Saccharomyces cerevisiae S288C: one gene and its partner. The protein of the gene in region 1 interacts with the protein of each later gene in a pairwise test. Each region holds a gene or a part of one and is shown on either strand. Other genes may lie near its edges.

Evidence for each region.
Region 2: the proteins of CTH1 (region 1) and WTM1 interact in a two-hybrid assay, tested with the Saccharomyces cerevisiae proteins (one study listed by BioGRID).

The regions. Positions count from the first base shown.
Region 1 is NC_001136.10:763,678-767,350, reverse strand, and holds CTH1 (putative mRNA-binding protein CTH1), read left to right. Parts: upstream 1-2,195; coding exon 2,196-3,173; downstream 3,174-3,673. Other genes in the region: ENT5 (Ent5p), read left to right, coding at 1-615; GIR2 (Gir2p), read right to left, coding at 848-1,645; NUM1 (Num1p), read right to left, coding at 3,477-3,673. UniProt on the Saccharomyces cerevisiae protein: Binds to specific AU-rich elements (ARE) in the 3'-untranslated region of target mRNAs and promotes their degradation. In response to iron deficiency, promotes the decay of many mRNAs encoding proteins involved in iron-dependent pathways.
Region 2 is NC_001147.6:768,490-772,613, forward strand, and holds WTM1 (transcriptional modulator), read left to right. Parts: upstream 1-2,310; coding exon 2,311-3,624; downstream 3,625-4,124. Other genes in the region: WTM2 (transcriptional modulator), read left to right, coding at 1-1,323; mitogen-activated protein kinase kinase MKK1, read left to right, coding at 4,112-4,124. UniProt on the Saccharomyces cerevisiae protein: Transcriptional modulator with roles in meiotic regulation and silencing.

The DNA.
Region 1 (3,673 bases):
ATTTCAACGTCTGCAAGTTACGATAACATCGACGACGATGAATTTGATGCAGATGCAGATGGCTTTGACAGTGAAATGGATGCTAATAATGTGACCAACTTCAATGTTCCTGTGGAAACAGAAGCAAATTCGAATACTCGCAGGCGTTCTCATATGGAAGAACAAAGAAGACAAAGAAGGGAGATATTAAGAGAGCAGATCAAAAATAAAGAACAGCAGAGGAAAAGAAAGCAACAACAAGATAGCATCCCTGACTTAATCGATCTTGACGATAGTACTAGCACCACGAATAATATAACAATAGACAATGGTAATAATGACAACAAAAACAATAATATCAACAGCAATAGTGATGATGATGATGATGAGTTTGGCGACTTCCAAAGCGAAACGAGTCCCGACACAACAGCACCTAAAACTTCCAATAGTAAAATAGATGATTTGCTTGACTGGGATGGCCCAAAGTCAGACACAGATACCACCGCTGCTGCGCAAACATCATTGCCCTTTGCGGAGAAAAAACAGCAAAAAGCCCGTCCTCAGGCTACAAAGGACAAGTCGAAGGGAAATGATGCATTTTCCGACTTATTCTCTTACTCCAAGTCGTTGGTCTAATCACCAAATACCCCTTCATCTCCCAATACATTCAATACAGTCAACAAATTTTCATTCTCAGATATATGTATCCATATATACACTAATAATATCTTACTAAAAACTTGTCTATTTCCTTCTTCAAATGTCAGTTTTCTTTTTATTGAATATCAAAAAAATATTATATAGATACATTTGTATATGTCATTATCCATGCAGAAGAAAATACTTAAATACTTAAGTACACAAGTATTTATTGATTTGCTATTTCGGTCTTGGCAAGTCCCTTGGCTACGTCATCTACACTCGCGTCATCCTCTTCCATATACTCGTCGCCTGTGCCCACCACGCCTTGTTCAAACATTTGCTTACCGGTTAGCTTCCCATGATGAGCCTTCATCCTTCTCACCTGGTCTCTTTCATCCAGTTTCAGTTCTTGGCGAAATTTAGACCTCCATTCCAAGTACGATTCTCTTGTGACTTTAGTACCATGGAACTTGGCCTGTTCCTTCTTTTCACGTTCTTGTGCTTCCAGCTCGTACTGCTTCTCGAGCTTATTCAATTGTTCACTATACCATTGCTCACATCTTTCTTTTATGGATGAAATCAATGCAAAACACATTTGCATACCCAATAACATATCGGTTTCGATTTGCGATTCTAATTGTACGGTTAATTCAGGCAAGTACCCCTTAAAGCTTATTAAATCTGGCAGGTTTTCAAACTTTTTCAGTACTTTATTACCATGGTCGTCATATTCAACCTCGTCTTCATCTTCCTCGTTATCTTCTTCGTTGTCATTGAGGGCTACTTCTTGAGCTTCCAATGAAATCAGGCATGGTTCGTCAGGGTAGTTTTCTGGTAACTTGAATTCGGCGATTATAGTGTGCTCTTTGGTTAAAACAGAAGTAGAATCACCTGTATCCAGCTCTAATTTAATGGCTACTTCAAATTTAATCTTTGGGTATTCATCGTTTATGATCCTCAGTTCATCAGGATAAATGGACTCTAAAACTTCTAGTTCCTGCTTCTGTTCTTCCTTATAATCCATAGTATTAACAAGTGCCTTCTGGATATGGAGGGAGGGCTTTTCCTTAAATTATACCAACCGACAGCATGGGAAACTCAGCTCTTTAAAGCCAATCTAACGATGCCTGCTGATTTTACAATTGGAAAATAGAAAATTTTCATTTTCCACCTTCTGTTACCCGAGTTTATAGACCTAGGATTTCCAATCATTACTTATTAGGACATTCGGGAAAAATATACATATATGGCCCACTTCTCTCACATCTCTTTTAGGGTCTGTGCCAATGGCACCCAAATTTTTCTTCTTTCTTTTTCGCTCGTATTCTCTCACGCTCTTGATCAGTGTGAGCAGTTACTAATATACTGGATCAGAGAACATTAACTCAAAGGTTGATAGTGTAGATCATTGGACATAGTGTGACGGTTTTGCACTCTTGTTGCGCTTGCTCTCTTAACAAGTCACATCTTATTTAGCCTCTTCACCCATAAGTTGATTGTAAAGCCGTAGAACCCTATATCACAGTCTCTTCGGCAACTCAACCAATAAGAACTATTAAGGATTAACACTAGCCATGATGCCGAATGTTGCTCCAAACAGCTACTATTTAAACATACCGAATGCCAATTCGACCTCAACGACTACGTCCTCGATCTTTTCTGATCTCAACAAGGAGTACGAGTCAAAGATTAAAGAAATCGAAGAATATTATATAAAGACACTGCTCAATGAAAATACCGATAATGATGACAGCAGCAGCTCCGAGGGGCATAATATAAATGAAACGGACATTTTAAGTGAATACTCACCAAGGCCTTCTCCTTGGTTACCATCCAAACCAAACTGTTATCATCCGTTGGGAGATTTTAAAGACTTGATCATATCAGATTCCAGACCTACAAATACATTACCTATTAATAACCCTTTCGCAGGCAATAATAACATCTCAACACTTGCTACAACTGAGAAAAAACGTAAGAAAAGGTCACTCGAAGTTGAGATTAACCCTACTTACACGACAAGTGCATTTTCATTACCCCTGACAGCGGAGAATTTACAAAAACTATCTCAGGTGGATTCTCAGTCTACTGGACTTCCATACACACTTCCAATTCAGAAAACAACAAAACTGGAACCTTGTAGAAGGGCACCTTTGCAGCTTCCTCAATTAGTCAATAAGACCTTATACAAAACTGAGCTCTGTGAATCTTTTACTATTAAAGGCTATTGTAAGTATGGAAATAAATGCCAATTTGCTCATGGTCTTAATGAACTGAAATTCAAGAAAAAATCAAACAATTATAGAACTAAACCTTGCATAAATTGGTCGAAGTTAGGCTACTGTCCGTACGGTAAGCGTTGCTGTTTCAAACACGGTGATGATAAGGACGTTGAAATATATCAAAATGCTAACGATGGAAGAAGTAAGGATACGGCGTTGACTCCACTTCCTACTTCCCTAGCCCCAAGCAACAACGATAATATCACTAATTTGAGTAAGCCTAGGAACTTACATACTAGTGTTAAAGCATTGCAAAGGATGACTTGGTAGTCGGTCAACAACAAAGCCCTTTGAATATTTGGCGTATTTCTGCTGCCTCTCCTTATTTATTTATTCATTATCGTTTTCATATTTATTTCAGTCACAAAACAAAATTAAAGAATTCGTGACCTACTAACATGAGAATTAGTTAATTTAATCTTTTTAGTTTATTTATTTCATTAGGTAGAATTTTTTTTTCTTTCTCTGATCTTTCAGTGTTACTCATCGGTGGCAAACGTGTTTACAGGACTAAAAATCGAAATAATGATTATTATTGTTCTTAATTTACTTAGAGTTATTTAGTTTTTTTAACTATCGTAAATTGCCAAATGATCGGCTTTGTGGTACTCTATGTCTTAGAGACCTTGTAGATACGGACCTTCTCGATGCGCTAAGTCTTTTACTGGAGCTCTTTGTATTTTCGCCGGGCAATGGGAAAATCTTTCCTGAATACATATTATCTGTTGGATCATCAGCGATGTCCTCTAAACTTATCCCTTGCATGTTCC
Region 2 (4,124 bases), on another chromosome or scaffold:
TTTAAACCACAATTCAGCACAAGAGTCGACGATGTTTTACATTTTAGCAAGACACTGACATGGAGAAGTGAGATTATTCCAGACAAATCCAAGGGCACCTTGACGACTAGTCTTTTATATTCTCAAGGTAGTGATATTTACGAAATAGACACTACTTTACCATTAAAGACATTCTATGACGACGACGACGACGACGACAACGACGACGACGACGAAGAAGGTAACGGCAAGACGAAGTCTGCAGCCACCCCAAATCCAGAGTATGGTGATGCTTTCCAAGATGTTGAGGGGAAACCATTGCGCCCAAAGTGGATTTACCAGGGCGAAACAGTGGCAAAAATGCAATACTTGGAAAGCTCAGACGACAGTACGGCGATCGCGATGTCCAAGAACGGCTCTTTGGCATGGTTCAGAGATGAGATCAAGGTTCCCGTTCATATCGTACAGGAAATGATGGGCCCTGCTACTAGATACTCTAGTATTCACTCTCTAACCAGACCAGGTTCATTAGCAGTGTCAGATTTTGATGTGTCGACAAATATGGATACGGTAGTAAAGTCACAAAGTAACGGCTACGAGGAGGACAGCATCTTGAAAATCATCGACAACTCCGATAGACCGGGAGATATATTACGTACAGTGCACGTTCCAGGGACCAACGTGGCTCACTCAGTTAGATTTTTTAACAACCATTTATTTGCATCTTGTTCAGATGACAACATTTTAAGATTCTGGGACACAAGAACAGCGGACAAACCGCTTTGGACGCTAAGCGAACCGAAAAATGGACGACTAACGTCCTTCGATTCCTCTCAAGTTACTGAAAACCTATTTGTCACTGGGTTCAGCACGGGTGTCATCAAGCTATGGGATGCGCGTGCTGTGCAACTGGCTACTACTGACCTCACACATAGGCAGAACGGCGAGGAACCGATCCAAAACGAAATAGCCAAGTTGTTCCATTCTGGCGGCGATTCCGTTGTCGATATCCTGTTCTCACAAACCTCTGCAACAGAATTTGTTACGGTTGGAGGAACGGGTAATGTCTACCACTGGGACATGGAGTACTCTTTTTCAAGAAACGACGATGACAACGAAGACGAAGTTCGAGTGGCTGCTCCGGAGGAACTTCAGGGTCAATGTTTAAAATTTTTCCACACAGGTGGCACAAGAAGATCGAGCAACCAATTCGGGAAGAGGAACACTGTGGCGCTACACCCCGTAATCAATGATTTTGTTGGCACTGTTGATTCAGATAGTCTTGTTACTGCCTACAAACCATTTCTGGCCAGTGACTTCATTGGCAGAGGTTACGACGATTAAAAAAAAAAAAGAGTAAGAAATTAACGTTACCACCTATGGGAAAGGCAGTAACTCACAAGCATTCACGTACATAATTCTGTTTTTTTTTTTTTTATTCATTTCTAGCACGCTATCGGGGTTATTTTTTTTTTTGTAATATATAGTGATGGTATAATGTTGTATAGATACTGGTATCGCTCCTAATAAAGACTCTTTCAGATTTCTGAAGCCAACGAAGTAAGGCCTCAAGAAAAGAGGGTTACCAGTAATTAACCAAGCAATTTCTTTTTTTTCTTTCCAGCAAAGAAATAAGACAAAAACCGGCTATATGGAGAAGAGGGAGGATCTAATGGTGACATAGTCCATTTCAAGATTCCCTCTTTCGTTTCTCGGATGAAGCTCGATGTTTACAATTCAGAATCTTAAAAGGCTGTCGCTAAGAAAGACCCAGAGGCACATGCAAGATAGTTGTGCCTGTACCACGTGAGAAGGCGGTATTCAATATGCGGTGCTGTGCTGGCTTCCCTTTTTGGAACGCGCCGGGGTATAACAAAGAAAGGCTAAGTCATACAATAGGCAAAAGACCTTTGTCTTTCCTTTTTTTCCTCTTTCCTAACATACGGTGGTTTATGTACTATCCCTTATGTAATTGCTTAGCTATACACAGTGAGCACACATAGTGGCGCTCACTACTCCCTTTTAATTTCAACTCGTAGATAGTTGGGCTATTTTCCTTCGAATCCTCGTTTATCATCTCATATTTAAGAGTACCATTTCGGGGCTTTTTTTTACCTTTTCCTTTTCCATGCAGTCTGTCCCCTTAATGTTCTATGTTTTTTTTTTTTTTTTTTCAGTTCTGTAGCTTCCAGTATAAAGGGAGGGAAAAAAGAAGATCCGAAAAGTTTATATTCGCCTGAATTGTAGATATTAGATAAGAAAATTAATTATTAATCAACCAATCTTGAAAGATACAAATAAATTGTAACACACTATACATTACAACCAAAAATGCCAAAAAAGGTTTGGAAATCATCTACGCCTTCCACTTATGAACATATCTCCAGCTTAAGACCAAAATTTGTGTCTCGTGTGGACAATGTTCTGCACCAAAGGAAGTCCTTGACGTTCAGCAACGTTGTTGTTCCAGATAAAAAAAATAACACTCTAACCTCAAGTGTTATATACTCTCAAGGTAGTGATATCTACGAAATTGACTTCGCTGTACCACTACAAGAAGCCGCTTCAGAACCGGTGAAAGACTATGGTGACGCCTTTGAAGGTATTGAAAACACCTCGTTGAGCCCAAAATTCGTGTACCAGGGTGAAACTGTCTCCAAAATGGCCTACTTAGATAAGACTGGAGAAACTACATTATTGTCGATGTCTAAGAACGGGTCGTTGGCTTGGTTCAAAGAGGGTATAAAGGTCCCTATTCACATTGTACAGGAATTGATGGGTCCAGCAACCAGCTATGCCAGCATCCATTCTTTAACCAGACCTGGTGATCTACCTGAAAAGGATTTCTCATTAGCCATCTCTGACTTCGGCATTTCCAATGATACCGAAACCATTGTGAAGTCTCAGAGTAATGGTGATGAAGAAGACAGTATTTTGAAAATCATTGACAATGCCGGTAAGCCTGGTGAGATTCTACGTACTGTTCATGTGCCTGGTACCACTGTGACTCACACCGTAAGATTTTTCGACAATCATATCTTTGCGTCTTGTTCAGATGACAATATTCTGAGGTTCTGGGACACTAGAACTTCCGACAAGCCTATATGGGTGTTGGGAGAACCAAAGAACGGAAAATTGACCTCGTTTGATTGCTCTCAGGTTTCCAACAACTTGTTTGTTACCGGTTTCAGTACGGGTATTATCAAGTTATGGGATGCCAGAGCGGCTGAAGCTGCCACCACTGATTTGACTTATAGACAAAACGGTGAAGATCCAATTCAGAATGAAATCGCTAACTTCTATCATGCCGGCGGTGATTCTGTTGTCGACGTCCAATTTTCTGCCACTTCAAGCTCTGAATTCTTTACTGTGGGCGGCACTGGTAATATTTACCACTGGAACACTGACTATTCCTTGTCAAAGTACAATCCTGACGATACCATTGCTCCTCCTCAAGATGCCACTGAAGAATCACAAACAAAATCTCTGAGATTCTTGCACAAGGGTGGAAGCAGAAGATCTCCAAAACAGATTGGAAGAAGAAACACCGCCGCTTGGCATCCAGTTATTGAAAACTTGGTTGGTACTGTCGATGACGATAGTTTAGTCAGCATCTACAAGCCCTATACCGAGGAAAGCGAATAGTCGCCATGCTAAACGCGCGGAACAAGGCCATATTTATATATTTAATGCTTTTAACTATTATTAGTTTTTCTCACCCAGGGCTGGTTTCTTTACCCTGTGTGATGAAAGTGCGCGCCTAAAGTTATGTATGAGCTACTGTTAGTATATTTATTATTCAATATTTAATTAAACAATACTTACTACTGATGAAAGATACCGTACACCTGCTGGCGAATAAGTCACTATACACGAGCAATTATATTTCTCAGGTCATTGCGACAATTGAAAAATCGGATCGACTGATTATCATTAAGGCGTGTGACGGCTCAGAATAAGGAAGTTCTATTTTAAAGGGCAGCAAAAATTTGGCACAATTTAAAAAGAAAGTTGGTCTCTGGTAGGGTTGGATCCGGTTTTTCATAACTTGCGTTTCATTTATGGTTGCGTATTTCTCGCAGTGTACATAGACCAAATTAACTCTATCCTTCCATTGCACAATTTGCCCAGTATGGCTTCACTGT